4 linked regions of the Rhinolophus ferrumequinum genome follow. The protein of the gene in region 3 binds, or shares a complex with, the protein of the main gene of each other region. Links are inferred from orthologs where the notes say so. Each region holds a gene or a part of one and is shown on either strand. Other genes may lie near its edges.

Region 1 (7,470 bases), on a different chromosome or scaffold from region 3:
CCAAATGCCTGGAATTACCCTAATCCAATTTCAGGGTTTGAGCCTTTTTCCTGGGTTACGCAAATGTCTGGAGGCCTGGTTGTTATCCAGGTAAAGGTCATTTCACTTCTAGTTCACCCTGACTTCTAGGTTATCTCATCCTTACTTTTGACTTTCCAGGTGTTGTGAAAAAAACCAAAAACCAAAAAAACAAAACAAAACAAAAAAAACCAATAAACAAAAAAACAACAGTTTAGCCTCTCAGCTGCTTAATTCAGATCCACAAAAATTGCCAGGACAGAAGCAGCCCTGACTGTAGGCACACCCTCTGGATCCCTGCCCTCTCTTCCAGAATCTGGCCATATAGTTTCACATGATCTCATTAGTTTTTTGATGCCTTTATTTTAATTATTATTATTTTAAAAATTTTGTCCATCATTCTTAGTCTTCTTCAGTGAGAGGGTTGATCAGAATTACCTAACCTGTCATAATCAGAAAGCGGAAATCTCTCCTTGATATTCCTCCAGTTTTTTATTAGGAAAATTTTCTGCCCTACCTGCAAGTGTTCTCAAAGTGTCCCAAGGCCCATCTCTAAATGGAAATGGGATGGACCCTGACTGAGAATATAGTTCTGATTGGTAAACTTCAGTTCTGCTGCCATGCCTTTTTCATGTGTAAAGATGTCATAGAATCTTTATGATGTTATAATTCTATCATTTACTGACTGTGATTTAATCTTTGTCAAAAGCTTCGGGAAGCCTGCAATTTGTGGATCTACGCAACATGTTACCTCTCTGTCTCCTTGGGTTCCTTTTTGCCCTGATGCAGAATGTCAATTTGTGAGCTAACGAAGAAATATAATCCCCTTGGTTCCTCCATTTATTAAAGCAATATAACCAGAAAGTATTATATCTGATTTGTCTTATTTTAGATTCTTCTAAAATGCTTTCCTTGAGTTAATAATTAATATTATCTTCTTGGCTTTTAAAAATATTAAACATAAATTTATGTCTAATATATAACTAACATATATAATTTTTTACAAACAAATCCATTTTCAATTGCATTGTATTGCCCACTGTCCTCTATATCAGATTCTATGTAGTAAAGTATAGAATTTAATGTCGGAAAAAGATTTGACTCTTCATATGAATATGTGTACTCTTACATGTTTTCTTTTTATTTTAGCAGCCAAAACACACAGAGCTCAGTTTAGCAATTAACTGAATTATGTATTTATATGTGTGCTTGATATCTCTTTTACTGGCTTCCTGATTGATTTCTGACAATTTAAAATTATATGTACCTTGTTTTGTACGTAACTTTAAATACTTTTTAGAATTACGAGTACAATACAATTACGTATATTGTATTCCCACTTATCTGAGGATACAAAGAAAGAGGCAAACTTGTCACATAAAACAAAAGCTAGCTAGCTAGGAGATCCTTGCCCATTTCAAGCTTGAAATTCACCATTTTGCTTGTTTGAGAACAACCCTGAGATGCCCTTTAGAAAAAAGTGCTCCTTTGATCCAGACAAGTTGCAAACATGCGCATCCTCTGGGTGGTCCAATTAGAAAAATGCTTTCATTTCTCCAGATGTGCACCTTGGGCCAGCCTTGCAAGCTGAGGGCAGGCTGGGTACTGGCACCACATCTATCTCCTCTGCTTACACACAGGCCCCACATTTGCGTTGCAAGTTGAACCATCTGAATTTTTGCATATTTGATTATTAGTTATAAAACTGGAAATTCCATGATTCAACCTGATATATGCCATGTAAGTTTCATTAGCTAAACCATGCCATTTAGGTAGTGAGAGAGCCTTAGGACCAACTATGTACAAGCAGTCTTTCAGCATTGCATTGGGGTTTGGGTGCCAGTAATGAATAAAATCTTTAAAATTATTAAATCAATTCAAAGCAAAATGAAGCGAGCAAAAGTAAAAAGGTGGCTCTGAAAAGATCTAGAAGGGAAGCAAAGCTGAAACGGTCTAAAAAGTTATGGTTTTTAGAAAATACCTTTATATAATCTTAGATCTGTGTGGTAAAATGCTATTGAGAATTTAGGCATTTTAGTTTTCCAGACTTGATCCTAATGAATTTCCAGTGTTTATTGTTTTGGGTCAGGATGGGGTAGAGGATCATCTATTCCCGCAGGAGTTTGGAGGTTTGACAAGTCGTTGGAAATACTAAACGTTATATATCTATTATATTAGTAGCCCATCAACGTTGTCTTTGTTTTTGTTTTCAGTACGGTCACTGATTCACTAAATACTTTTCTAATGACATCAAGTCCAAAAGCACGTGTGGATCACATGGATTCCAATTGATATGAAGAGTGTTAAGTATCCTTACTATAAATTCACTTCTGTCAGTTTACAAACCTTTAGAAAAAGCTAATGTCACTTTGCTTCCTTGGGGATACAGTTGCGTAGCTACTAGGTGTTTTTCTTCTTATTACTGTTTTCTTCCTCATTTGAACTCTTTACTACTCAACTGTTTCATCCTTCCTTTTTCACCCAAGCTTGAACGTAATTTGAATTATTCTTCTACCTTTTTCATAGGACTCATTAATCTCAGTTCCTGGAGATGGGAAACCCAAAACCTGCCTACCTTATTTTCTTGCAATTTTCACTGGTTTTCCTAAAGTCATAGCATTCTGGAGTTCTCTGAGAATTTACACTTCTATTTTTGCTCCCCAAATAAGTAGGTACTTTTTGAATGCTCTTAAGCAATCCACATATTTTTTCTGCCTGTGGTTCAACTTAAAAAAACAGAAGAAGTCATTTAATTTTCCTCTTTCAACTGGCGGCTGATGATTTGCCGAATCTGGTATAGACCTCCTCTTCTATCTCAAGTAAGTATATAGCATATGTGTGTGTTGGGGGAAGGTTAAGATCCTAAATGAGAATGTTAAATCTCTCAGCAGTTGAACCTAATCAATTACTCATTAATGATAGCACAGCTGTTGGAAAACTTTAAATGAAAAGTACAGGCGCACATCTGATAAATTTAGCCTGCCAATTCCGGAGCGCCATTGTCACTAATAAAACACCCTCCCCAATTTAGGCCCCAATTCCCTAGCGCTGGTTGAAATGCCCCCGCTTTGCGCAACGCGGGCCTCCCGGCGCTGCCCCAATCCTTTCAGGGCAGGCGGCGGTTCCAGACTGCGCTGCGGAGGCAGGGACCAGAGGAGGGCGCCGTGGCGGCGGTGAACGCTGTAAATGCCTCGAGGCTAGCTCAGAGGATCCGAGCATTCGCCAGAGAGACTATTTTTTTTTTTCGTCATACTGTTGTCTCGTGCGCTCCGGGCTTCTGCCTACTCCAGATGTTCTTAGGTGGGGGCCTGGTTGGAGACGGCAGAGACCCTTGGTCCGGACAGCACTCGTGCTGGGCGCGATCAGTTTTGTCCTGGCTCGAGATTCCCAGCAACGCCCTCCCCTGGGGCGGGCTCTGACTCTCGGTGCTGCGACGAGTGGGCGGCAAGAAGCCGGTGGCCCACAGCGTGAGCGGCTGCAAGGAGCGCTGAGACTCCAGCTGCAAGGCTGGCGCCGGGACCTAGCGGCCGCGGCGATCGGAAGAAAAAGGAGATCAGGGGAGGAAGAGGAAATAGAGCAGATGAAGGAGAACTGCCGTGGAACAGCGAGGCGGATCCTTTCGACTGCAGCTGCCGCTGTTCCGGCACGCAGCCCGGGGAGCGTGCCAGCCCGTAAGGTGCTGGCCAGGTAGCTCCCCACCCAGAGAACGCTCTTCCTGGCCCTTCCCAGAGCGCCTGGCACGGAAGGAGCCGGTGCCGTGCTCCTGGTGGCCAAGGCGCACCGCACCCCAAGAGCGGCGCCCTTGAGCTGCACCGCGGCGCAGGTTTGTGAGCGACTTGTTCGCCCGCCGAGAAAAGGAAGCACTGTCCCTTCCAGCTCAACCCGACTTCCCCACCCCTTGTACTCTACACCCTGCAGCGGGCGAGCGGAGCGGCGCGGCCACGGAGGCGCCGAGGAGGGGCGAGCCGCCGCCCGGCGGCTGCGTCCCTTCGGGGGAGAGGGCAGCTGAGAAGAGGCGGCGGCGCGGCGCGGAAGGCGCGACGCGCGATGGCAGCTGCTTAGCCCGGCGCGCGCGGAGCAGCCCCGAGCTGTGGCTGGCCAGACGGTGCGACTGGTCTGGGGACGCCGCCGCCACTGCAGCCGGGCGGGGAGAGATGAGCACGGAGGCGGGCGAGGGCATCACTTTCTCCGTGCCACCTTTTGCCCCCTTGGGCCCCTGTGCCTTCGCTGAGGGCGGCAGCTGCCGGAGGGGAGGAGTGGTAGCCGAGGGCGAGGACAGCCAGCTACCACCGCCGCCACCGGGCAGCTTCTGGAACGTGGAGAATGCCGCCGCCCCTGGCACTGGGTGTCCCGCTGCCACCTCCGGGAGCAGCGCCACCCGGTGCCGGGGCAACTCTGGTGGCGGAGGCAGCCGACGGACCACAGTGGCATATGTGATCAACGAAGCGAGCCAGGGGCAGCTGGTGGTGGCTGAGAGCGAGGCCCTGCAGAGCCTGCGGGAGGCGTGCGAAACGGTGGGCGCCACCCTGGAGACCCTGCATTTTGGTAAACTGGACTTTGGGGAGACTACGGTGCTGGACCGTTTTTACAATGCAGGTGCGTGTGTAACCCTTTCCCATGCTCCACGATCCCTGGCCGTTGCAGGGTTTAAAAATATGTTTTTCTGGGCAGGAGAAAAATAATTTTCTGGGCAGCAGGAGTGCTTCCTACTTATTTACTTCTTGCCGCACCTTAGAGACAGCAGCGCTGCGCGACTGCTGCTGGCGCTCGCTGCTCTTGGGAGAGAGTGGGTGCTGGTGCAAGAGCCTGTGTGTATTTGTGCGAGAGACCGGCTGACTCACCCACCCACCCACCCACCGGCGCTGGAGCCCTGGGGTCTGTGTGGTCCTCATACAGAACTTTTGTTCCTCAGCAATGCGAGATACTGGCCCCAATCAGCCCTTCATTCAGTGTCTTGGTTTCTCTTGTGTTAGATTTGGCCCATATTTTCCTTCTGTATCTACCTGTGACTGAGGTGAGGGTTCTCTTTTTTTTTCTTTTTTGGTCTTTTCTTCTGTATAGTTTTGTGAGTACAGAAACCATAACTTATGCCACACAGCCAGCTGCATGCACGTAGTGTGTCTGTATGAATTTGCATGTCATGTCCTGATCTTCCCACCTCATGTTACCTTAAGTTTGGTGGCTTGAATTTCTCATTTCTTATCAACTTTTAAGTAATTACTTCCAAAAGTAATAACCTTGTAACTTACACTAAACTTGTGTGGTATCTTTGTTAGGATTTCAGTGAAAGGACCAGGGTCTGTTTTTCATTACCCCATATGCCATGATGGACTGGAAAGTGTATAATTTAGCATTGTTTAAAATGCTGATAGGCTTTCTTGACAGCCAACACTAAATTGGCCATTAAAGTGACTGCTAGCATGATCCATGAAAAAAATGTATTTTAACCTATCACAGATTTCAGAAAGTATTGTAGTTCCAGTGACTGAAGCGATTAGCTATCTGTTAGCAAATGTTAAGAATAATAATGTTATTTAAACTAACCATTAGCACCCTGTATAACCAATATTGAACATATATACATACTTATTTTTATAAGTGTGGGCAGAAAATTTGATTTAATGGTGGTTTCAAACAATAAGGCTCTTGCATTTGTGATCACATAAAAGGTTTTATATTCTAATCTTGTTTTCAGTTCTCATTCTCTTCAGCCTCTTCAGAACACCTAAAGTAGGCTTATGTCAGTTTTGGAATTCAGTCAAAGCTGAATATTTTAAGCACAAGAACTTCATGTTAAGGAAGCCAGACTAAATAAACTAGGACTTTCTGGTTCTGGTATTTTTTACAGCCTTCTTGGTCTTCATAACTGAACATGAGTATAATATATTGTAGCTTGGTTCTTTGGGTGGCTTGCTAAAAAATGGCATAAACATAACTTTTCTAAAAATGAGAGCACTCTTACTTTTGGATTATAATTAGGAGGAAGCTTCAAAGAACTGAAAGATGTGTGAGGGAAACACCCAGCCAAATAGTGTATTTTTACTCCACTGATAGGGCGCTTTGAAAATATCTTAAACTCTAAGCCGATTTGAAAGTCTTCTGTCAAGGCTCACTTACTGTTTATTCTCCAAGTAGTGTCCCTAAGAAAGGGAGAAAGATTAGAAGGGACTGGACATCTGAACTGTATATCTCATTTAATGCTCCAAACTGGTGAAGGAAGTCCCTGCTTACTGTCTTTCTTAGGTGAGAAGACCAAGGGATCCAGAACTGGTCCCAGGACTCAGGTAGTAACTGGTCGGTGCTGGGAATCCGCTTCTGACTCTAAAAGCTCAAGCTTGCTGCCTCCATTTAGTTGAGCTGATTTTCTCTCAGAGTCAAGAGAAGCTCTCTATCTTGGAATTATGTGACAGAGGATGGACAGAGACTTTGTGAGCCGTTTAGGGGCAGTGTGCAACGCAATAGTGGGGAGAACTTGTTCTAGGAAGACCAGTGTTTGTAGGCCAGCTCTGTCCCATTCCACCGCTTCCATCATCCTGTACCCGTCCTAGTTTAACCTCTGCCTATGTGAGTCACGTGAACTCTGAGCCTTCTCATTCAGCTTCAAAATGTGCCACAATGAAGATGGGTATCGGTTTTGTCCAAACCCTTTATTTTCCTAAACTGAGCGTTTAATGGTAGTAGAGGCTGCTGAGTTTAATGGTAGTAGAACTTTTCTTCTGATTTCTAAGACAGCACTTGCTCCTCCTCCATCAGGATTCTGCAAATTTTTTTGTCAAGGGCCAGATGGTAAATATTTTAGACTCTGCAGGAGGTCTTTCTTACAACTACTCAACTCTGTGGTTGTTACAGGAGAGCAGCCATAAACAGTACCTAAACAAAAGATCTTGGCTGTAGTCCAATAAAACTTTGTTAGTGGACACTGAAATTAGAATTTCATATAATTCACAAAATATTTTTTAAATTTTTTCCCCCAACCATTTAAAAACATAAAAACCATTCTTTGTAAGCTGTACGAAAACAGGCCTGGCAGGATTTTGGACCCTGGGCCATGCTGACCTTTGCTATACGTTCACCCCGCTCCCCTAGAAAGCGGAATCATTCTGACCTAGTGAAAAGAGCACTACTCCTCAACTTAGATCTGGCTCTGTTCTGAACCACGTAATTGTGAGCAAGGCCCTTCATCTCCTCCAAAGGCTTGTAAAACTGACCAGGGATGGAAGTGGAGGGGGAAATTGAAGTGAATTTCTAAGATTCCCTCATTTAATCCTGTGAGTTTGCAAAGGCAAGGCAGCATGGTATGTTGGCATAGAGAGCACTGGAACAAGAGTTTCAAGATCTGGATTCTGGTCCTCGGTTCTCTGATTGGAAGCAAGTCATTTAAAAATCGCAGAAAAGAGTGGACCGTTGGAATAATTGGTTTCCCAGATTCCCTGCAGCTTTCAAATTCTATAC
Region 2 (7,931 bases), on a different chromosome or scaffold from region 3:
CAACAAGCCCTGGCTGTTATAGTGTCATTAGGATTTAATATTGGAATAGTTTAATCTTCAAATGTCTGTTGCTTTATAAAAAGTAGGTTTACAACAATATAAAACACATAATTTATTTAAAGGGATAGGAAAAGATAAAGTGAATCAGGCAGTACACTAAATCCGAATGGACTTATTTTCCTATTTAAAAAAACACAGACACTATCAAAGAGGCATAAAAAATAAACTACAGCTTATGCTGTTTACACAATCTAACTTAAAACAAAGTGTCAAAGAAGAGTTGAAAGTCAGCCACCAGGGAGGAGCACCAAATGATCAGGTAGAGCTGGCACAACAGCCATCCACCAATCAGGGACGGTGCATTTGGCATGGCCATGGACGTTCTGAAAGCACAGGAAACTATGGACACAAGTGGCCCAGAGCTCCAAATCACCTGTCTCTCTTGATTGGATTCCCAATACTCCTCAGTTCACGCTTGTGACATTGTGGAATCTTTACTATGCCCAGATGACAGAGAGAGAATGGGCCTGGTTTACAAATGGATTTGGTTGATAATTTGGTGTGAATGAATCTGGACTGCCGTCACACTACAGCCCAACTCCAGGGTGGTGCTAAAGGACAATGGTGAGGAGATGCCCTCTGACTGGCAAAGCTTGGAGCAGTTTGCTGGTCATCTCCTTTGGGTACAGATGCTTGGGCACAGTCGTGGGTGTCTGGGCTCCTTGTTTGGGTGCCTGGAAGGGGCAAGATGGGATCAATGGTTGCAGGGAAGTGGTGGAGGAGCTGTGGAGGAAACTGTGGGTACAGACACGGGCGTGTGGGTCTTGAGTCCCACATCAATCTTCAGAGTATCACTGAAGAAGGGACACTCAGCAACCAGGCACACAGATGGTGTCTGTAGCCAAGTGAAGCCAGCCCAGGCTTTGCTTACCAACACAGGGCCCTGCACAACCGGCCATAGTCAGTCCGTCATGGCGGTGGGGATGGAGGAGTGCAAAAAACCACGCTGTGGCTTCCTTCTCATGAAGGCTGACCTAACTACCCACAGCAGAGGCTGATTCTAACCCACTGATGAGGTAAAACCAGCCACTTGTTGGCAAGGTGATTACATGAGAGCCCTACAGTCCTGGAGGCAGAAGCAATTCATCTCACTGGATGGATACTTGCAGGAAACCAGCTTGGGGGTGACTTCCTGCAGAGTTAGGATGTGGCACATACACTGAACCAATGGCTTTTATATCGTGTTGTGCCCCCACGTAGCTAAAAAGGAGCATCCAGGCATCAATGGGTGGAAATACCATTGGCCTCTCTTACCATCACTCCCATTGATCCACTTAGGGTATTTGTGCCTCCTGCTCTGCAACTTTAGGCTCTGCTGTATTAGAAGTCATTGCCCTGGGGAAGACCCTCAATCTCAGGAGATGGGAGTCGAGGCATAAATTTTAGCCTGCCCATCCTCTGGTCAGAAAATTCTGAGACCTGCTCCACTGTTTCTCGAGGCTCCCCAGGGGATCTGAGCCCCAGTTGCTCATTTATACACCTTTGATTCACTTTTCTCCCCCTCTTGTTTCCCTTTCTCCCCTTCTTCATTTGTCCATCATGGGATTACTTCTTAAATAAACTACTTGCTCCCAAGTTGTTGGCCAGGATCTGCTTCTGTGGGAATCCAAACTAAGATAAGGGCTTCACCGACGTTATGTTTCATAATATACTATATTGGTAAAATGTCTTCCGAGCCTGAGTAATTTTTCAGCCATATATGTTTTTAAGCTATTGTTTCCTGCCTTACATCTTTAATTTTTTGTATGTGACCATATTTATGCCAAATAAATAAGATACAGTTTGATAAAACGAGTGCCTTAACATACAATAGATACAATGGACTTCACATAACTGCTTCTTACTGAATTGTTCAATCTAGATAATGGTCCAAATCAATAAAATTAATTTTACAGACAGTGATTGCTACACATTTCTAGGTAAATAGTTATCTGCCTGTCTGGCTTTAGGTTGGGGTAGATTTTAACATCTTTGTAACACCATCATCCAAGTACCCACAAGCTAACAAATCAAGTTAGCCCAGTTCAGCTGAATTTTGGGTAATGGTTTGTGGGTGTACCCCTAACAATGCCTGGGATCAGGAATGAACAGGCAGTCGAGCTGGGTGTGAGGCTGAAATCCTCTCTTGGGAAATGAGGGAACTGAAGGACATGTGCCTGAGCTGACATTGACAACCCAATAGAACAATGAGTTCTCCTCCATAGCACATGTCCCCTATAATAGGAACTTGGAAAAATATTAAGTTTAACCAAATGTCCACCTTGGATACTAAAACAGCTCAATTAAATACCTAAAACACCTAGCTTTGAACAATGTTACTTCTAGCATGCTCCAAACAAACATTTTTGAAATTAATGTACATCCAAGGTAAAAGAATGCCACTAGTAGCTATAAAGCATTTAAACATTCAGGGACTTCTAAGGCCAGTTATAGGTGGCAGTTATTACAGTTATTATCTGACAATAATTGGCTGCCAGGTTCATTGGTCACCCAAGGTCACTGCCTAGAGCTGTCTTTCTGTAGGACCATTTGATTGAGTCAAGTTGAATGTTACTCTTTTTTACTAGATTATAATGAAATTTGAAATTGTAATGACTGTATTCTAAATTATGTCTCCAATTCAGCAGTAATGAGAGTAAACAGGAGACTCAGTGGACAACTCTTGGGTCCATACCCTTCCCTTGATAGAGTCTCTGAACACAAAACTTGATCGAGCTGTTGATTGCGGTTTCCTAGAAAGCGTGTAGGGGAAGTGGTCTAGAAAACAGGTGAGGTGTGTTGGTCCTGGAGTCACAGAGCCCACGTTTGAGTCCATCTCCACCCCAGTAAAATGGGGACAATGAGAACTGTGCTAATGATGGTGTGATAGAATGCAGGGAGAGAGCACTGGGCAGAGGCACAGGGCGCCCAGGAAGTGGTTGCTGTTACAACCAAATATTCCACCCTCATATTCCAGAATTCATAGTGCTCTTTGAATTACTTTGTGTTTGCATTTGGAAAAATTTAAGCACTTAAAGCTGGTAATAAATGCAATTCATGATTACAATAAAAGTATTCTGGAAGAAGGTGAAGAAGAGGAGAGTTAAGCCTCTTTTTTAAAAATCTTTATATGGTTTCTAAGTCTATGTCATTTACTCTACTAATATATGTGGCACATAGTAGCTCTCTGTAGGTGAGTGCTAATGCTGTTTTAAACTGTCACAGGGAAAGCACTCAGAGACTGGATGGAGAAAACAGACATACATGTACACCTAAAACCTGCTTCTTTTAAGATGAGGCTCTCTTCCTTGGTTAACATATAAACGTGTCAGTGTCCTTGGTTGTTTGAAAAAGCTTGTTCATTGTGCATCATTTGGTTGTCTTAGTACTTTAGGTCCAACCCTGCACGTCTTCACAGCATCTCTTGCCCAAATGTGATCTGGCCAAGTGGCCTGTTTTGACTGAGCTGTTTGCACAGTCCTTCCTTCCAGTTCATCTGTACAGATACAGTTTAGGCTCTGCTGTTTTCTTGACCTTCCTACCAGCGTTTGAAACATCACCATCAATTTAAAGTGGAGCAGCTCTGAGGTTTCTTTCTGGTCCTGGAGAGTGGGGCCGACTGCCCCCCAGCGAGTGAGGTCACTTGCTCGGAAACAGGCCTCCCAGCAGGGGGCACGCGTGACACCGGCCACGCTGTTTGGGGCATCCACGCCCCCCCGCCCCCGAGGATCGTAGCAGCGCCTGGAAAATCAATTCCTCTTCAAATTAGACCCATCTGGTTACAGATATAATTATCATTTGTGTTCTGTAATTATTGGCTTACAAGGTAGTGGAGAGAAGCACTCCCCCACCCCTTGAAATAAAACTGGCAAAAATAAAAAGAGCATTCTGGGAAGCATTTAATAATTTAAACATTTATGAGTTAAGAATATAAATAAACGGTTCCGAGTCCTTCCAGGAGGGGAGAGGGCGGCGGAAAGGACAGGGCAAGGAGAGGAGTCTTGCTAGGCTCTCACCTCTGGAGGGGGTTGCGCATGGGCCCCGCAGGGCGCAAACGGTTAAGAGCGCGCGCCGCCCGCGGACTGGGAGTCCCCGCGAGCCCTCTCTGGCAGGCGGGCTGTCGCCTCCTGGAGGTCACCAGGCCCTTGGGGCGGGAGTCCACTGCCAGGCGCGCAGGTGCGGACACGCGCGCACTGCCGGGCCTGGGGGGTGGAGGGAGTACCACCGCGGGGACTAAGCGTGGGGGTGCGTGTGCGGCCGGGGGGCCGGGCCGTTCCAGCGCGGCGTCTTTTCTTCTTTTTTGCAGTGATGTCATCGGCGGCAGCGGCTGGGAGCCGGGAGGCGGCGGCGGGGGCGGCGCCGGGCGGCCGCCGCAGGTTCATGTGCATGTAATGAAAAGGCACTTGACAGTCGGCCAGGACGCACGCGAGGGAGCGCGAGCCGGCCGGACCGCGGCGCCGCCCGAGCCAATCGCCGTCGCCGGCCTCTCCATGGGCGAGCAGGAGGAGGGGGCGGTGAGCGCAACCGGCCCGGCAGCGGCCGCTCCGCGGTGAACCGCGCGGAGACGGGCTCGCGGCGCGGGGAGGCCGGCGCGCCGCCGCTATGAATTCCGCGGAGCAGACCGTTACGTGGCTCATTACCTTGGGGGTGCTGGAGTCGCCCAAGAAAACCATCTCGGACCCGGAGGGCTTCCTGCAGGCGTCTCTGAAGGATGGGGTGGTCCTCTGCAGGCTGCTGGAGCGCCTGCTGCCCGGGACCATCGAGAAAGTGAGTGCCCCTGGCCCGCGCCCCCACGGCAGACAGGCCCCGGCGGTGGGAGCCCCGGGAAGTGGGAGGCCTTGCTCCCCGCCTTGCCTGCGCCGCGGCCCGGGATGCGCGGAGACGCGCGGGCGCTGGGCGGCTCGCATCCGCACCTGGTGGCCGCGCGGGGATGGGAGAGCGCGGGGCGCGGGGTAGCCCACGCGCCTCCTTTGTGCGCAGACCCGGGAACGTGGCTCGCGCGAGGGGCGCGCTGGCGGCGCGAGGACCCAGTGGCGGGAGCTTGGGGCGCCATTGTGTGCGGTGCGGGCTGGGGCGGGGGTCGGGGCTGCGTTCTAGGGGAACGACCCCGGGGAGGCCCGGAGGGAAGGGGAGCGCTCTGCTCTGCCCTAAGGTGGAGTCGCCCCTCTCCGTGACCCGATCAGAAAACCGTGCTTCAGCACCGCGCACAGCTTCCTCGGAGGCTTTGTTTGAACAGCTTTTGTTGGTGGTATCGTATGGGAGTTTCGTCCTCCGTTTAGTTGACCAATTGCTGTGCATTTTTTAAAGATGCATTCATAAATAGCTGAGGGCTGGGTTGTGAAATGATTTACTGCCCTCCCCACGAAAGAATCCCTCAGGTCTCTAAACCCAGAGGATTGCAAATGCGGGGTTGGAAAGCCCTGGCATTCTTCAAGCTGGCTTAAAATTCTAGATTTCATTTTCAGGTTCCTACCTGATTTTGAACAGAATCCCTAGCCCTACAGATCCTGCTTCTTTTCTTCGTGACTGGTGGTTTCCCCGGGGCTGGAGTGTGAACCTTGACCCGCATCTCTGTGAGTGATTAAAGTTTGCTTTCCTCTCCCACAGCTGACAAAGCAGGGGCGAGGGGAGAGAAGCGCTTTTAAAAAGGATACATTCTCTATATCTGACAAACACTACAATCTTTTCCCTTTCCCCCCCAATACATAATCTTAAGGTAAACAATTACTTAAAAGGTGTTAAATGTAGAAATTAAAGTAACACCATGATTAGGAAAAAACTATTTTGTTTTTTAAATGGGCATATTGGCCCTAATGCACAATAAAAATTTGCTAATAAAAATATTAAGTGACTTTAAAAATTAAACTGTTTGATTTTATAAGTTTGCACATGTCCTGGTGCTACATTTTAAAGGTCAGAAAAGAGTTTATTAATATGAATTTTGCATACATAGTAGTTTTAGTTATTTTTCTTACTTGGAACGTGTTTATGAAAACATAATCTGCACTGTAGGGTGAATAACTTCCTGCCTGTCCTGAAAATAAAAATGTTGCTTGTAAATGAACCTGATGTCACAATAAAATTATGATTTAAGACAGGAATAAGGAGCAGGATCTAACTTTCAAGGCACTCAAAATATTTTGTTGTCATCTGGATATCAGAATCTCTGGTAATAAAAGACAGATGTTTGAAAAGCATTGAAAATGCATGCTAAGTTTATCAAAATAGGCTTACATAAAATACCATTCCATTCTAAGAGTGAAACTTCATATGCTGTCTAGATAAAAACTATCAATGCGTGTTATAGGCCTATTAACTACATTAATATTGATTGGCAAACTTCAATAATCATTTTCTTTTAAATTCTAGGAAGATTTTCTTAGAACACTGTAGCATGCCTTTCATCTCTAGAACAACAAAGAGAGGAATGAATAAAATGTTTAGTTTGAAGAAAACCCAACATATTCTAGAACTATTGTCATTTGGAAATTTCTTCTATTGAAGCTATTCTTTTATTCCCCGTAGGCCCCAATTGGTTTGTTTTAGACTGAGACTATCACAATGAAAGTTTAACATCAGAGTAGCAAATTATAGTCAGCTACTCATTCTCTGTGGTTCAAAGGTAGGTTTTTGGAGTAAAATATTAGCCATTCGCTCTGCCTCTGAAACCTTGGGTTTCAGAAGTTTCATGAGCTTTTTCCATTTCCTAAGAAGAGTTATTTATTTGAGCTTTTGGATGTTTGCATGCACAGCAAATAATGTATGCCACAAAGCACACGCGGAACAGCTTTCCCTGGAATGTGGGAATGTTAGTCTGAGGACGTTTTTCCTTAAAAAGGAGCATTTGGAAACTGAACAGAATATTCATATGAAATTGAAAGGATCTTAACTTTACTCCTGTTTGCCTCATGAACACACTGACAACTGGTTAATGGGATGTAAGCAGCCTGCAATTTAACATTTGCAAATTCATAATTAAAAATTTTGAACCATTAGACTGGGAATAGTGCATAATTAAGAAAAGTTTTAGGGTGGCTCAGATTTCCCATATGCCTTTTATTAGGAAAACATGCCCTAATATGTTCCTTGCATCATGCTCATTTGTTGTGTTTTAGAGCCAGTAAAAGGGTGGAGAACTAAGAGGAAATTCATTTCGGTTCAGATTGTTCTGCTCATTTAAAAAAAGTTTTCTGTTCAGGTTCTCCTTCATATAGTTCTGCTTTTCTTTAGGGTGGAAAGTTGCACAGGGAAAAGAGGGGACTATAAACTTTACATGAGCAGATCAGACAAGACACACGTTTCATTATTTATTACTCATGATGTTTTCTGCTGCAGGGGAGAGAAAAGTGGGGATTACAAGGTTTCCCAGATCTTCGTGTATGGGGATCCCATAGTTTGATTTTTCTCTGGTAATGGCCAGAATGTTTTGCTGACCTGCCCTCACTACTTGCTTCCCTCAGTCCTCCTGTGGTGGGAAACACACAAGGCCACAGGATCCAGTGAGACCTATCGGCACTGAGCTCATGAGTTAACACTTTAAACATCCCTAGCCTATTTAATCACTGGGAGTGAAGTCAAGATACAGAAGTTTCAGAGGATGGAATATTACTGTTAGATTAACAAAATACATGAAAATAATGGAAGTCATGAAATGCTGCTTTAATTAGACTTGTAAATGCAGCCAATGAAGTTGCTTGGTTCACCATGAAAAGGCAAAGAACCTGGTTCTTTCTCTGTATGTGCAGGATAACAGAACACACAGTAATCCATAAAGGGCTGCACAGGAGACACTCCATCAGTCAATTTTTGTGGAATGTAATTGAAAGTCAGATGCTACCTTTCTGGTCTTGCTAGATGTCCTGGGTGTGTAGGTGGGCGTGAGTTTAAACTGG
Region 3 (7,902 bases):
GCTTTCCCTTTCCCTCGTCTCATTACGGTTACCTAGGATCACCTCCCAAATAAACTACCTGCACCCAAGTACGCACATTTATCTCAGGTTCTGCTTTTTGGGAAACCTAAACTTAGGTAGTTGGTACCAGGATGAGATTCTGGAACGGAATCACTCACTGATCAGATGGCAACAAGGATCTATTGTTGATGATAATTGAGCAGTGCTGGCCCCTGATATGCTGTGCTATCATAACGAAGCCTTCAGCTGTGGTAGAACAGGTACAAGTGGAAGGAGTACTTAGACTAGGTAGTAGCTCTAGCACAGAGATTCCAACCTGTTTTGTTTTTTAATAGTGCTCTCTTAAAGAGAAAAATTAAACTTAAAGTATCCCAGGTGGGAAGGCGGAGGGGCAAAGACGTGAAGGTGATCAAAAGGTACAAACTTCCAGTTATAAGATAAATAAGGTCCTGGGGATGTAATGTACAGCATGGTGACTATATAGTTAATACTGTTTTGTATATTTGAAAGTTGAAAAGGAAGTAGATCGTAAAAGTTCTCATCACAAGGAAAAAAACTTGTAACTATATGTGATGATGGATGTTAACTAAACTATGTGGTGATAGATGTAAACTAAACTTTCACAATATATATCTACATACATGTATATCAAATCATGTACACCTAAAGCTAATAGTGTTATAGGTCAATTATCATAATACAAAGATAATACACTTTTAAGAAAATATCCCACAAACCATTGTAATATCTAAGATGTAGTTTTGCCCACCTCAGAACAAGTTTCACTTCCTTGCGGGGAGGTATCACCCCCATTGAGAATTCGCGCTCCAGCACTTGAATGATATGGCGGTAATGTTAATTATAATTTCACGGAATTGACTGGATTTTGTTAACTATTTTAAAAGCCTTGAAGAAAGTGATTTTCAGGCGCAGGTTATCCACCTATCACTTTAGGACATGGGATGAAATCCAGAAGACTTTCACGGAAGATTTCTAAAAAACCTTCTTCTCCCACAGCCGGAGAGCAGATCATGCTGCAAATCAGGCCCAGAATGTAATAGGGCCGAGATCCTTTGACTGTTCCCGTATGCTAAAGTCGGGGTTTCCATAGGTAGGGAGTGGCACCGTGAGGCCTGGGATGGAGACATTTGGGTGGATGCAGCTGAGAACCCGGTACCTTTAGCAAGTAGCTGCTCCCCCTTGTTAGCACAGAGCTGTCACCCTTGACTAGAGACTGTACTCGCTTCTTATTGCTGCAGTAACAAACTGCCACAAGTAAGGTGGCTTAAAACAAGGCATTCATTATTTTTATTTTTCTGTGGTTCAGGCTGCTTTTCGAGGGAGTATGTGGATATGTGCGTGGGGGTGGGGATGGCTTTCATTCCCTACACAAAAGTTAGACCCTCGGATCTATTCCTTCCCTACCTACTCATCCCCATTCCTTCCCTACCTGCTGGGTGTTCAGTGGTCACATCCTCCTATTTCAGTCAGACACACAATCATTACCTCACAGTTCTGTGGTTCGGAAGTCTGAAATGGGTGTCACTGGGCTAAAATCAAGGTGTCCGCAGGGCTCTGTTTCTTTCTGGAGGCTCCAAAAAAGGATCTGTCTTCTTACCTTTTCTAGCTTTTGGAGTGGTTTTTATGCCTTAGCTGGTAGCTCCCTTCCTCTGGCTTCAAAGCGTGGGTGGAGTGCTTCTCACATTCAGTCATAACTCGATCTGACCTCTTCTGTAGTCTAACCTACCTCTTCCTCACTCTTCCGCCTCCCTATTCCACTTTTAAGAATCCTTGTGATTACACTGAATTTACCTGGATAATCCAGAATGACCTCCCCATCTCAAGACCCTGAATTTAATCACACCTGCATAGTCCCTTTTGTCAGGGAAGGTAACATATAGGTTCTGGGGATTATCAGGATGTGAACCTTTTTAGGGAGACATTATTCTGCCTACCACAGAGACCATGCAAAAGCAATTTTGTTTAGGATTAATTTACTGGGTTATGATCTTGGGTTAACTCCTCTGTGCCTCAGTTTCCTCATCAATAAAATGAGGGGGAAACAGTAGTCTATCTCAAAGGCTTATTAGAGGTGTACAGGAGATAGTGCTTAGAACAGTATCTGGCACATGGCAAGTGCTAGGTTAGCATTTATTTAATACGTTTTTATAACATTTTATTGATTCTTACTATGTGTCAGGCACTGTTCTAGATACTGGGGATATGGATAGAATGGATAGAAATATGACGATCTCAAGGAGCTCAGGGGGTCGGATAGACAAATACAGTTACTACACAGTGTGCTACACGCCATGAAAGGCATGGAAGTACTATAGGATTACAGCAGTGTGAAGGCTCAGGGAAACTTAAGAACTATCAGTTGAATGAATAAATGAACATGACATTTGAGCTGGTGTGGATGAACAAGGGGCCACATACTAAACCTGACGAGCTCGGGAGGACTGCACCGCCAGCCTTACAAACTCAGAGACCCAAAGAGACCACATAGGATGATCTGAACATAAAAAATTCCCGACTAAAAGCTAGTTATGGTGGGTAGTCACGTCATTGGCCTGTAGCTTCCTTGACAAAGGTCAATCTTTACCTTAAGTGAGCCTGTCTGTTGTCTTTTTGGCATCTAAAATAACATATCTTTGAAATGTCAGAGTAATCCCCCTTTCCAGACGCCCCAGGGCACACCCACCACACCAAAGCAGGAGACCACAGAACCCCTCATTGTTATCCTGTTCCCCAATACCATCTTTACATGCTGTAAATATTAAGTATTTACTCTCCTGGACCCACCAATGTAAAAGAAGCATCTCTCTCCATTTTACTTTTTATCCAATCCCAGAGATTTCCCCGCTTTGCTTTTTCCTGCCCCCGTAATCTACCACCGATGGATTTCATGTAACCCTCCTTATGTCTCCTCCTTTGATTCTAAAGTATAAAATAAGCTCCAACATTGCTATTCTCTAGAGCATTTTCTCAGTCTGTTGAGATTTTGCTTCCTGGCCATTGTCAGTTCGGCTCAAATAAACTCACAAAAATTCTCTATAGGTTTGGACATTTCTTACGTTCACACTGGGCTTTGTAGAGTGAATAGGTATTGGCCAGTGAGATAAAGAGAGAAGGGCTCAGAGCCATGAAGAAATGTATGTTCAAAGAACATTAAATAGCATTTTGGTGTGGTTGGAACAGATTTATGGTGTGAGATGAAGCTAGACAGGCTGCTGTAAGTCCCAAGGTTGAATGGTACGAAAGGCTTCCAGAGCGTTTAAACAGGAGTGGCCATCATCAGTTTGTGGTTTTAAAAGGCTACTCTGGTCCCCAGTAAGAATGGATTGAATTTGGAGAGACTGAAAGCTGCTCTAGTCGTCTAGGTCATGGTAGTGAGTGAAGAGAAGGGCAAGGCCTTGAGAAATATTTACGATACTCTACAGGATTTGGTGACTAATTTGATAAGGGTCTCGAGAGAGGAAGAATAGGGTTATGTCCAGGTTTCTGGGACTGCTGGATGATGGTCCATTCACCGAGAGCAGGAAGTAACATTAGTTGCACCTTTGGGTGAAATTGGTAAGAGGTATGGTCAACATTCCAAACGGTTTCATGTGTGCTAAATTGTAGTTATTATTATTATTGTAAAACTGAGGCTTGGAGAGATCAAATTTAGGTACACAGGTAGTACTTATTATGGAGAAATTGTGACTTAGAAATGTTAAAGTCCTATCCCTGACATTTGTACAGCTGGGACTTGAAGCAGGACAATCTGATTCCAGACGCTTAGTCACTAAGGTTTCCGTTTTGGACATGTGGAATTTGAGGTACATGAAGTGTAAATGACACTGCCAGGAAGCGTGGGGAAACACAGAATCTGAGCTCAGGGGAAAGGTTTGGGATGAATGTATCCTCCAGGGTCGGAGAAAACCGAGAAAGGAAGCCCATTTTTTAAATCTCAGTACAAGATAGTTCAAACCTCCATTAGCACAGTATTTCTTTATCTCCTCTCCACTCCAAATAGTATAATAAATGTTTGGCTCTGAGGTCATAGGAGATGGGGTGGTTTTCAAATATCTCTCTTGGTAATGATCTAGCACATGCGGTGGTGCTTTGTAACCTGAAGAGGACCACAAGACCAGGGGGTTAGCCATCTTTTGGGACTTTTCCTACACCATTAACGCCCCCAGAAAGCGTCCCAAAATCTTCCAGGAGAAAGGCCATGCCAAAGGAGCCTGCAGCTGTAGACCGCCGGACCTGAGACGAGCCGCTGGTGCAATGACGTCATGCGGCCTCCGGGTGATTCCCCAGTCTCTGGCGTCATGCGCCGATGACGTCATCCCAGAAGCTCGCCTTCCCCTACGCTTGGGTTGGCAGCACTCACGTGGGTCTGCCCTGGCCTCCCCGCCCCCTCCCACCTGCGGGAGGCGGGGCGGGCGGGCTCTGCCAGCGCCGCTGCCTCGCCGCGAAGGGGGCGGGGGCCGGGGCCGGGGCCGGTGGGAGAGGCGGTCCCGCCAGGCCCCGCGGCGTACAATAGAGCGGCTGCGGGCGGGCGTGCGGCTGCAGCTGGAGCCCACGGTGCCAGCAGGCAGTAGACGACCCTCACGGCTTCCCTCGCTCGCTCGCTCCCTCCCCGCCGCCTCCCTCCCTCGCCGGCTCTGCGGTCTTACCCCACGGACGCTTTCCCTTAGACTCTCATCCCCTCTTTCACGGAGCCCCACTCTGCCGAGAGCCCCTCGAAGAACTGTCTTCGCCCCACCTCCTCCCCGGGAGGCTGCCCGCGCCCTCTCACGTCCCCGCCCCCCACCGCACCCCCTTCCCCGCGTCGCCTGGCTCCTTCCCTTCCCCCTTCCCCGTCGCTGACACCCCACCCCCTCGTCCTGAGGGGACTCCCCGGCCCCAGCCCAAGCGGGGTGGGGGAGGCGCCGAGCGCGCCGCGGCGGCGGCGGGAGGGAGAAAGTGCAGCGGCCCGTCGCGCACACTCGCGCGCTCACTCCCGGGCTCGGCCGCTGCCACCCGGGTGGAGGAGGAGGAGGAGCCCAGTCGAGCCGGGCGAGCGCGGAAGGTGAGAGCCGGCCGCCTGCGGGTACCGCTGGCGTCTCAGGCTGCCAGGCTGGGGTGCGGGGTGCGGGGGCCTGGGCCCCATTCATTCGCGAGGCGGGGTGGGGCGGGCGGGGGCGCCAGGTGAGACGAGCGGGGGCGTCGACCCGCGAGGTTGGCCGTTCCTGTCCGAGCAACAAAGGCTCCGTGTGCACTCATCCTCGCGGCTGCGGGTCTCACGCTGGGGGACCCAGGAGACCCCAGGGACCCGGGAGAGGACAGAGGCTGGGGCGAGGCCGGGAGACTCCCCAGATCCCCGTGTGGGAGCGACTCCGTGCTGAACTTAGCGGTCCTCCTGCGCTAACCGTGGCCGGCGCTGGGGAAGCCTAAGCAAAGCGGCGTCCGATTCGTTCTGCTTGGAAAAAGCACCCCTGTCCGGGAGGGAGGAATCACCTGTAGGGTCCCACTTCTTGAAAAATACTATAGGATAGAGCCTGACTTCTGCAGTCCCTCCCCCACCGCGGGAATACTCTAACTTGTGGAGTTAAAAACAGGGAAAGGATAGAGCTATTGTTATGTTCATTATTCCCTTTCAAAAGACATGATTGTTGCAACCTTTACCGCCTTGAATATTTTCTCAGCCAACATTGGTGGGAATGTTTTTGGAAGAATGCTTGAGAAGTTTTGGATGTTGGGAGCAAAGTGCTTGTTGTTTGTGAAACCCTTTGGGTAACTGTCGTACGTTCCCCACCCCCACCCCCGGAACTGTGAAAGGTGGTACTATGGTTATCAATAAAAATTCGAATTCATTAGTCTAGCCTTTAAGAATTGTTCCAGAGAAAAATCTTTAGTTTGCTTACTGTCTTTGGGCGCTCTCAACTTTGTCAGGGGAAAGCAGGAGGCAACAGTACCCAGATGCCTCACTGGTCTTACCTTGTGACTTTACCTACTTCCTGTGTGACCTTGAGCAGGTCACTTCCAGCCTTAAAGTTCCAGGGGTTTGCTTTTATGCCCTAGAAACAGGCAGGTATCAAGCACTTACTCAGCTTTCAAGACTCCACTGAAGATTTCCTCTCTCTTCGCCCCACTGCGAAATCGTTGCTAGCAAACACCCCCAAACTCTAATCAGGCAAATCTGACTTCTCACTGGGGCCATCAGAGGCCTGTAGGAGTTACCACAGCGCTTGTAACTTTTTCTTGTTCCTGTTTGGGAAATCCTCAGGTGCATATGAAATACACCTCATCTCAACTAGAAATTCGACTCAAAAAGGGTTTTGGGAACATGGACCCTGAAACATTCCCTGAAGCTTATTCGTACCCTTACCTGTATGATGAGCTCATGGGTCTGTCTGGTAAATTTGCTGATCCAGTCTTTCATTTACCCAATATTACTGGAGTGTGGAGAGCTGCTGGGTTTCAGGTTTTCTAGGGCTATGGGGATTCAGAGTCTATTAAGACATTCCCTGTCTTCAAAGAGCTCAAAGTCTAGTGGGTGAGGTAGACATGTAAACAATGGAAGCCTGCCCTAATCTCTGGGGACTCCAGCTATCCAGGGAGTAGTGTGCAATAATTGCGGCTGCTAGACCTGTTTTACCAGTCTTTTGGTCCTGGCCAAAGTGAGTCCAAAGGGAAGGTGGTGACCTGCCTCTCATCCATAAGACAGCACTTGGTAAAAGCTTGTTCAATTCAATTTAATACGCATGTACCAAGCATATGTTCTGAGGCCCTGTGCTAAGCTTGGAGGAAGCAGTGCTTTCTGAAAGGAGAGTGGTCTGTATCCAGAGAGATCTCTGTAAATCAAAACCCATCACATCATTTCTCCCTACCTCAACTAGTCCTAAAGATACATTTTCAAACTCTTAAACAGAATAAGAAGTTCTCAGAGATCAGACGGCTGCCTACCTTTGCAGCCTCACTTTTCTATAACTCCCCTGCCATACTCTTTCTCATCCTTGCTTTTGCTTGTTCTGTTCTTTCTGCCTGGAATGCAGGTCTCCTTACTCCCTACCTTTCTGTGGAGAAGTGCTTGTTGGACCTCTGAGAAGCAGTCCCTTAGTCTCTCTTCCTGTGACTTCCATAGGATGAGTTGCTCTTTTATTCTTTGGCTCTTGCACGTACCACTCTTACAGCACTACACTGCAATTATTTGATTTGTGCCTGTCTTTTCCATTAGTTAACCTGTGAATTTCTTGAGGGCAGGATCTGTTTAGTTTTAGTGCCTAGCAAAGTTCTTTGCACTGCATAAGTGTTTGAAATGAATGAATGTCTGAATGAAGAAGCAAGCCCATGAGATAGAGGATAGCCAATCCTTTGGGTTAGAACAATTAGCTCTAAGTGTGAGCTCTGCACCAACCACATCAACATAATCTGGACATTTGTTAGAACTGCAAATGAAAAATTCGGGGTTGGGGCCCTAAAACCTCTGCTTTAACAAGCCCTGCAGGTGATTCTGACACTTGCTAAAGTTTGAAAACTGCCGGGTTAAAAGATCTGCTTTTGATAAAACCAGCTCCTTGCCAGCTCCCTTCCGCTCTTCCTTTTTCTTCCTTCTGTATCAGAGCATTTACTGCCTGACATTCTATTCTGTTCCATCTGTCTTTTGCCACTAGATTGAAAGCTTCCTGAGAGCAGAGAATTTTGTCTGTTCACTACTTGAATCCCAGTGCTTAAAATAGTGACTGCATGTATCAGGCACTCAAATATTTGTTGAATGAATAATATGAGATGATTTAGTCCCATTTACTGCCAGCTGCTACATTGGGATTTTATTCAAGAATAGTTCTCAGAATAAAGAGGAACCACACTCCAATATGGAAATTCAAGTGGATTCTAACATTTTTGGGGATTTATTTTAGACTGAGCTTT
Region 4 (8,541 bases), on a different chromosome or scaffold from region 3:
CCAAACAGACTTGGGCTTGAGTACAGGCTCCGCCGTTTACATGTTGTGTGATGTTCTGCAAATTGCTTAAACTCTCAGCCTCCGTTTCCTCACCTGTCAAGTGGAAATTAATGACAGAATCACCTCAGAGTTGGTGGTTAGAATTAAGTGAGAGAACACTCAAAGCACCTGGCAAAACACTCACACTTGCGCACATGTCTACGTATTTGTACCAGATGTGGAAATTTCTGGTAATTAACAGTGTCCAACGATGATGAGCAGCTGAGCACTGGAGGTATACAAGCAGACACAGGTTCATTCACTCGTTCAACATTCATTGAGCATCTACTATGTGCCAAGGCATTCGCTGGGGGTGGGAAGAGGTGCAGCAATGAACGAAACCAGGCATGATCCCTGTCTTTAGGGACATCCAGCCCCGGGAAGGCGACACAATGATCCAGTGATCATGCCACGAAGAAAAGTGACTTGGCCATAAGTGTGTCGCATGCAAGGCCAGGGAAGGCTTTTGTGGGGTCTTGACACCTAAACTGCCATGGGAAGAAGTGAACTGGGCAGAGGGATGGAGGAAAGTGTTTCGGAGAGGGGATTCTGGTGTGCGCAGGTTGTGTAATGGGAAGAAGCTTTGCATAACTGGGGACCTGGAAGCTGGATGAAGGCAGACAGAAGGGGGGGGAGATGGCAAGAAGCCAGGCTGGAGAGGTGGGCAGGGGCCAGACCGCATGGGGCCTGCTAGGCCACATGAAGACAATAAGAAGCCATTGAAAGCTTTTAAGCTGGGGTGGGATGATATGATTGAATCTGTTCTTTGAAAACCTCATGGAAGCCGTAGAAAGAGACCAACAGGGAGAGGGCCCAGCTGGATGTAGGGAGCCAGCTCAGTTCTTACTCAAGTCCCGGCAAGAGACAACAGACGGTGCCTGGACTGGGCTGGAAATAAACATTTGGGACTCACCGGCATGAGGACAGCGGTTTAAGCCCTCGGACTGGATGCAGTTGAAGTTGTCTGCGGAGAGAGTCTGGAAGGAAAAGAGGGACACAGACCATCGCAAACTCTAGCTTTTGTAGCCCAGTGGAGTAAAATGAGGGAGCCAAGGAGAGGACCAGAGAACTAGGAGAAAAACTGGGAGAGGATGGAGAGTTGGAAAAGATCAGAGAGTGTCCAGGGGGTGAAGTATAGCCAAGAGGTCGGGGCAGAAAAAGATGGAAAGGTATTCTTTGGCATGACCAACAAGAAGGTCACTGGTGACCTTTCTGAGAAAGCACTGAAACAGCAGACTTTAGGCTGAGTGAGGTTCCTGCCTTGCATGGCCATTTGCGTGAGATGAAGGGCCTAATGTCCATGTCACTAGGATAATATTACCTTGTCCAGTACGATCTGGATCAAAGAGGATCAGCTCATTAGTTCAGAAAATCTCTGAACTCGTGAAGCGCACAGTGTTCTTTTCCAGTGACCGTGTAGCCCTGGTGACTTGACGTATTTGCTTGTACAACATCTAACACTGGCCAATTCATCTTGTAGAGTCTGGACCATAAGCCATTTGCCATCCTCTATGTTGCCGTGATGGAAGCTCCCAACAAGTGGACATATGTGGATTTTGCATATATAGTGCAGACGATGCAGTTGGTAAATCGTCTCAGACGCACCCCTGGGGAAGGTGCCACAGGCTCTGTCACCCCTACAGATGGAAGCTGGCAAAGAAAAGATGGGTCCAGATTGGGATCTCTGGACTATGTGTGAGAACAGATTGAAGGGGGCCAGAGTGGATGTGGGGAGACAGGGAGGAGGGTCTGTGGTTCTGAAGTATTGCACAGCCCTCACCCAGGGGTGGGACAAAGGACAGGAGGGAGGAGCCCCAGGACCATAATTTCTGACCCTTCCATCTTCTGGGCCAGCCTCCAGGCGCGTGCTTTTGTTCAGAATTGGAGAACACCCGCTCACATTGTTTTTCAGCCTCCCACTTTCATAGGAATGCAAAAAGGTTCCTTCCAGCCTCCCCTGTAAACGTCTTCCTCTTAGCCAATATTCACATAATTACTACCTGTTCCAAAAATGGGGCCATGCATTTTGCCTCTATTATCTCACTGAATCCTCATGAGAACCCCTTGCAACAAGCCCCAGTCACATCCTGGTTGTGCAGACACAGAAACTGAGGCACAGAAGGATACAGCGTGGCCCAGGGCACAGAGCTGGCAAGTGGCTCAGCCTGGATGTGAACCCCCGTCTCTCTGACCCCAAAGGTCACAGCACCTCCCAAGGACACTCAGTGAAGATCTGTATGTGAGATCGCTTTCCTTTTGAGAGTTTGGCATGACCCCTTTTATTATTGAGTATTTAGGTCCACTCACCCCTTTATTCATTCAACAAACCTTCTGGGGCCAGGCTTTATGCAGGTGGTGGGGCAGCAATAGTGGCTCAGACAAGGTGTATGACCTAGAGCAGCTCACAGTCTGCTCAGGGAGGAGACAGCTCCATAACCAGGTGCAACAATCCACAATGTGATAAGCACAGACAGTGGGGTGGGCGGCCACTGTGGTAACCCTCTGTCTGGGAGAGCCGGTGCAGAGCTCCTAGGGGCTTCCCACAGGCTGAAATGGCTGCCCTGGGTCATAATAGGAGACGCAGGCCCTTGCCTGGCAGAGACGAAGGACAGGAATGCCAGGAAAAATAAACAGTTTGTAGGAAGGCATGAAGGTATGACGGGGGGGGGGGAGGGGGGGTGCGCTTTGGAGAGCTGGCTGCATGGTGGTGCTCGGGTGTGGGAACCTCAGCTGGCTGGGACGAGGGTGTGAGACGGGAGCAGGACGCTCATGTTTACTGAGCACTCTCACCACGAGCCAGGGGCTTTGTGCTGAGCACATCACAGCCACTATGACCACATTATTAAAATAAGGAAACTGAAGTTCAAAAGCAGGACTGGATTTTATGTGGATTCTCATCATGCTTGTTCTGTCCCTTAAAAAAAAAGTTATGAAGAAAACATCTGCGTACCTACAGCCCAGGTCAAGAAATAAAACCTTACCAATATGACTGAAGCCCCTCCCATCATCCATTTGTAGCTCCCTCCCCCCAGAGAGAAACTCTTCCCTGAATGGTGTATTTATCTATCTATCATTCCTCTGAGTTTCTTTATACTTTTACCATGTATGTGCGTTCCTAGCATTATACGGCATCATTTTGTTTTGCACATTTTAAAAATCTATATGAATTATATATCATACTATTTGATTTTTCTGCAACTTGCTCCCCACCCCTGACTTACTAGTTCATAAGGAAGCTCTAGTGGTTTATTTTCACTGCAGTGTAGAATTTCACTGAGGGCTCCACAGTCTGTTCATGCATTCTTCCCTGATGGGCATTGAGGCTGTTCAGACTCTTTACTGTATTAAAACTGCTGCAATGAGCGAGAGGTTCTGTAGGCTGATCCCAGACGCCGAGTCTCTGGGTCGCTGGGGTGCATGCATCTGCGACACGTCTATGGTAGATGCTGTCAAATTGTTTTCCAGAGTAGTGGTACCCATTTCGCCTCCTGCCAGCAGTGTATGAGAGTTCTCTCAGCTATCCCTACCTCTTTGCTGGTCGCCAATCTCACAGGTATGAAACGGCTCTTTACTGGGGTTGTATTTTGCATTTCCCTTAGTCTGAGTGAGACAGTATCTTTTCATGCACTTATTGGTCATTCAGGTTTCCCCTTCTTCAAGTTATCTGTTCATATAGTTTGCCCAATTATCTCTTGTTTCTTTTGAAATTGATTTGTAGAAGATCTTTGTATATTTTGGATATTGTGTCCCCAATATCTTGCTTTGATAAACAAGGGCTTTATACTTTATTAAATGCATCGATATTTTTCTTAATAGCTTATGCCTAAAGACACAAAGGTCTTCAAGAAACCTTTCCATATTTTTAGCATGTAAGTCTTTAATCCACCTGGAATTGATTTTTTAATGCATGGAGTGAGGTAGGGATTCCACCTCAATTTTTTCCCAGTATGAACAGCCAATTGCTCTATAAATCACTGTTTGTAGTACAGTCCACCCTTTCCCCAGTGAACTGCAGCCTCACCTCTTGCCGCGTATCAGGTTTCCACACATGTGTGGGTCTATTTCTGCAGCCTCTATTCTAGTCCTTTGGCCTATCTGGCTGTCTATCTATCTATCTATCCTTGAGTTAATATCATACAGTCTCATTGTACCTTCTTAGGCCGTCAGAACCTCCTCTCCTGAATGAGAAGGGTCAGACAGAAGACCCATGTCTTATTCATCTTTTCATGCACTCTTTTCGTCATCACTCATTACATGAACATCCATGTCATGCTTTTATTTACAAAGACTTTCTCACACTCTGTCTCTTGGGCTTCTAATGCAGAAGAAGAAACTGAGTCACAGAAGTGCGATAACTTGCCGAGGTCACACAGCCAGAAAGTGTAAGATTAGGGGTTCTGCAGGATTTCAAAGCGACCCTTCTGCATCCATGCTATACTGCCCAGGCTGTACTTGATCCACCCACTCATCTGGGCTATGATTTTCACTCCTTCCTCCCTTATTTCAACCAGGAGCTCCTGAGTGATGTGTGCGTGTCAGCTTTTGTTGGTGCTAGGGCCTAGACTCCATGTCTGGGGACCTCTTCCCCGTGCTGGAGACCAGTAGGGAGGGTGGGACCTGCAGTGCGCATTTTGTGGGAAGTGGTTTGAGGCCTCGGGTCAGCAGGAAGAAGTCTGGTGGGGTTTCAGAGTCAATTTAAAGAGCCCCATGCTGGGCGTGCACTTGGGGCCCAGGCGCTGCCTTCAGAGAGGATGCTGGCTTCCCCCAGGAATTACAGGCGTCCTCCCGCCCTCCCGCCTCGCGAGGCAGGAATGCGAAGGATCAGCTTTCAGCAGAGCTGCGGCTGCTGTTCCGGGGAGCTCCAGGTGCAGGCCCTTCCCCAGCGGCCAAATTAACTGGTTCTGTCTGTCCAACTGGGAGAGCAGCTCTCGCTAAAAATAGCGCCCTGCCCAGTGCGAACTGAGCCCGCCGGGAGCCGGGGCCGCGATTGTGGGAGTCCGAGCCGCGACAGTCTAAGAAGCCCGGGGAGCCCCGCACGGCCCCACCCCGGGCCTGGCCCACGTCCCACCCCCGAGGCCGTGTCCGCAGGCACAGCGCTGTCTCCACAGGTGCCGCGAAGGGTGGCAGGTCCGCGGGCCGAGGCGCCGCCGAGGCCGTCCGGGATGGGAGCCGGCGGCCCTGCCTCCCGCGCGCTCGCCTGGGCCTCCCTGCCCCTGCTGGGGCCTCCCGCCGGCGCGCTCTGCGAGGACACAATTTGCTGCGGAGGTAAGGCCGGGCCGCCTGCGGGCGTGTCCATCGCTCTTCCCAGGCACTTGCTGGGGCCTCTTTCTCCTTCCCCACCCCAGGTCCGCAGCGGGGGGCGAGGTGGAGGAGACCCCAGGCATCCGCGCAGGGCTTGTGGAGAAGAGCCAGGTGTTCTCTGTACACTTACCTGTAGTTTGAAAAAGTTGCAGTCTCACCACCAGTGTCCGAGAAGTGATCACCTCCCTTTTCGCCTCAGTCTTCCTATCTGGAAAATGGGACAATAAAATCGTCAAGGTTTAATATTTGTTATGACCCCTAGAGAAGTTGGGGAACCCTTTAAAGCGGATCACAAGCATTCTGGAGACGTTTACTCCAACCCAGATGGAGTCCTCGAGAATTTATGTTAGTGGGAGGGTTAGAGGTGCCTTCCTTGTTACCCCCCATATCTCCCAAAACTCTGCACCTAGCATCAGTTCTCAGCCCCTGCTGTCAGAAATGGAGGCAGGGGCCCACAGCAAAGTTTAAGGGGTCAGCGGACTGTGAAAATCCTTGCAGGAGAGGACGATGTAGACTTGTTAGAGGGGTGAGCAAGGCAGAGTCTCGGTCCACTCCTCAGTCGCGTGCCCCGAGAGCCCCCAGGCGAAAGCCGGGCTATTATCTTTGAAATCCTCAGGGCCTGGTGAGGAGCGCAGTCCGGCTGGCACAGAGGCCCTGGGAGGGCTAGCTGAGACAGCCGATGCGCTGTACCCGGCCGGGCCGGGGCTTGGAGAGTGGGGGCGGAGGGGCGTGTGGCCTGGCCTAGATCGGGGGTGGAAGGGAGGGGGTGTGTGGCGCGTCCTAAGTCCTGAACCAAAGCGGGGGGGGGAGGGGGCGTGTGCCGGGAGCCGAGGGGGTCCGCCCTGCCGGTCCCGCCCCGCGGGGTTGCAGTACTGGGGTGGATTGGTCAAACAGGTGCGCCCCCGCCCCTCCCCTCCCGACCTCCGCTCTGTGCCGGCGGGGCGGGCGGAGCTGCGGTTGGCTGGGCCTGCGGATTGGCAGGGCTGGGCGGGCTGGGTGGCCAGAGAAGCCCGGGAGCTGGAGCACCCAGGCGCAGGAGGAGGCGCGGAGCTGGCCAGGGCGCACTCCTGCCCGGCCCGCCGCCTGCTTGGCCCGTTCTGCTGTGCTCCGCCTGGCTGGAGCTACGGAAACTTTCCTGCCACCTGGCGACCCCGCGATCCCACCACCTCGTGACCCTGGCCCTGGGCCGGCTCCGGCGCCTTTGGGATGGCAGCGCTGAGCGGCCCAGCTGGCGGGTAGAGGTAAGATCAAGATGAAGTGGGCCCGCGGGCTTGCAGCGGTCCCAGAGGGATCTCGGGTTGGAGAGGGTCTGGAGGGCCTGATAGGAGATATTGGGGGTACAGGACAGAGGAGTGGGCCGCGACTTTGCTTTACTCACACTTTCTACGTTACAACCCCTATGCCACAAGAATGTCTACCTGGTGCATTGACCCTTGAAACTTTCCTGTGAGCCCTGCCTGTATCTCTGGGTCCTTGGGGAAGAATCGCTGTGGGTGTTACAAGGAAGGCACACCTAGTGGGGACCCGCAGCCAGCTGAGGGTTGGGGGGGTATCTCTAGCTTCCCAACTCCAACGCTTCCAGTGGTTTCCCAAAACTTCAAATCCTCCCCAGCCCACTCTGAGGAGTTGGGGATTGGATAGCCACTCCTTTCTGCCCAGAGTCAGGCACCCCAGGGCACCCAGATTTGGGGTGTTGTTTTGTTAAACCCATTGCTACTCCTCAATTTTCGGGGAGAGGGCGGAGTCGAGTGAGGTCTCCTTTTGGTTTCCTGGGCTTCCTTGAACCCTGACCTCCATGAAAACACCTTGAGCTAAGCAGAATGGCAATAGGCACCATAGCCTTCCATCCAGGTCCCAATTCCCAGCCTAGTGGGAATGACTGTGGGAAAAGTTTTCTGGTTTCTGAATGGCCCATATTTTTGAGGTTTCTGGCCTGAGTCATATAGAAACTACGCTCCTGTTCCCTGCCCCCTTCTGCTATTTAGGGGGGAAATTAATTTTGACTTGAATTTAATTTTGACTGAGGGTGGATGAGCAGAGAGCTTGTCACCTCTGAGGATCATCATCTTTAACATGTCCCCTCAATGTCAAAGCCAAACTCCTTTCAATTTTTTCTTGACCTACAACAAAACACCTGAGAGTTAAAAACCAGACACCGGCTCTGGAGCCCAGAGAACCTGGGTTCAAATCTCAGCCCCACTGCTCACTTGTGTGTCCTTGCGCAGGTTTTCTACCCTCTCTGAGCTCAAAGGTCCCACCCCAGGGGGATCTAGTGAGGCTTTTGAGAGTAAGGCATGGAAGGCATCTGGCTCATAGGACAACAGCTTTGGGCTGCCAGTCTGCATCCTAGGGCGTGGACCCTCTTGCTGCCTGAGGGACCCAGCCCATTTGTGCCTCAGTTTCCCCTTTTGTCAAAAGTTGGTATGGACCTACCCCTCTCAACAAACCCTTTTGAGAAAAGTGCACAGATGCACACACCCTCCGAGGCATGATCTGTAGACCTGAGATTTAAGACAGCCCCCTCCGTCTCCCTCCTTGTCATGAACTATTCATGAGGCATAGGCTTTCTGTCTAAAACTGATCTCTCCTCATCCCTTTTGGATGCTTGGAAGTAAAGGTTCCCTGTAAGTATCAGGGAAATGCAAATGTACTGATTAACCAACATGACAGCGAAAGGGGCTGACCTGCAGAAACTGGCCCCAAGTCACCTTCAAGGTTATCCAGGCCACCCCCTCCCCAATCTTCCTTACCTGGTAAACAGCTATTTTTTTTTTTTTTTTTTTTGCTGGGATCCTCTAGTGACAGCCCACTAAGGCAGCTGGCTTCATGATTGGGCAACTCCACTTTGTTAAAAAAGTCTTCCTGTTTGGAGCGGAAATCTGTGTGCCTGTTACTTCTATCCACTGGTTGGTTCTAGTACAACCCTGCAGGCATCTCTTACTGGCTCAATTATCCACTGCAGTCCCCCAGTGCCTGGCATTCTGTTCCTCCCTTTAGGCATTTAACACACTGAACTGAGTTTCGCAATGATCGTAGCACCATTTATTGAGTGCTTATTATATGCCAGGTCCTGTGCTGAGGGCTTTACACATATTATTTCCTTGCATCCTTCAGACAACCCCATGAACTTATTTTCTTATCCTCATTTTGCATATGAAGAAATAGGTTTGGGGAAGTTAAGAGATTTACCCAAAGTCATAT

What was found.
Region 1: PAK1 (region 3) and MAP3K5 share a complex: the UniProt entries of both Homo sapiens proteins name them as parts of the cytoplasmic complex. The link is inferred for Rhinolophus ferrumequinum from reciprocal best matches to the Homo sapiens genes PAK1 and MAP3K5.
Region 2: the proteins of PAK1 (region 3) and ARHGEF7 are in contact, whole or in part, in an NMR structure (PDB 1ZSG), measured with the Homo sapiens proteins. The link is inferred for Rhinolophus ferrumequinum from reciprocal best matches to the Homo sapiens genes PAK1 and ARHGEF7. Residues at the interface, in NP_001363202.1 of Homo sapiens: Thr185, Pro186, Pro188, Val189, Ile190, Ala191, Pro192, Arg193, Lys198, Arg203, Ser204; in NP_001106983.1 of Homo sapiens: Lys192, Phe193, Phe195, Thr198, Asp201, Glu202, Glu217, Gly220, Trp221, Trp232, Pro234, Ser235, Asn236, Tyr237.
Region 4: PAK1 (region 3) and DAB2IP share a complex: the UniProt entries of both Homo sapiens proteins name them as parts of the cytoplasmic complex. The link is inferred for Rhinolophus ferrumequinum from reciprocal best matches to the Homo sapiens genes PAK1 and DAB2IP.

What each region holds. Positions count from the first base shown.
Region 1 is NC_046286.1:82,961,131-82,968,600, reverse strand, and holds the start of MAP3K5 (mitogen-activated protein kinase kinase kinase 5), read left to right. Parts: upstream 1-3,960; 5' UTR 3,961-4,172; coding exon 4,173-4,614; intron 4,615-7,470. UniProt on the Homo sapiens protein: Serine/threonine kinase which acts as an essential component of the MAP kinase signal transduction pathway. Plays an important role in the cascades of cellular responses evoked by changes in the environment.
Region 2 is NC_046287.1:54,063,510-54,071,440, forward strand, and holds the start of ARHGEF7 (rho guanine nucleotide exchange factor 7), read left to right. Parts: upstream 1-4,641; coding exon 4,642-4,806; intron 4,807-7,931. UniProt on the Homo sapiens protein: Acts as a RAC1 guanine nucleotide exchange factor (GEF) and can induce membrane ruffling. Functions in cell migration, attachment and cell spreading. Promotes targeting of RAC1 to focal adhesions. May function as a positive regulator of apoptosis.
Region 3 is NC_046294.1:51,809,037-51,816,938, reverse strand, and holds the start of PAK1 (serine/threonine-protein kinase PAK 1), read left to right. Parts: upstream 1-4,565; 5' UTR 4,566-5,062; intron 5,063-6,361; exon of another isoform or gene 6,362-6,473; intron 6,474-7,902. UniProt on the Homo sapiens protein: Protein kinase involved in intracellular signaling pathways downstream of integrins and receptor-type kinases that plays an important role in cytoskeleton dynamics, in cell adhesion, migration, proliferation, apoptosis, mitosis, and in vesicle-mediated transport processes.
Region 4 is NC_046295.1:71,938,371-71,946,911, forward strand, and holds the start of DAB2IP (disabled homolog 2-interacting protein), read left to right. Parts: upstream 1-5,129; 5' UTR 5,130-5,201; coding exon 5,202-5,304; intron 5,305-6,432; exon of another isoform or gene 6,433-6,581; intron 6,582-8,541. UniProt on the Homo sapiens protein: Functions as a scaffold protein implicated in the regulation of a large spectrum of both general and specialized signaling pathways.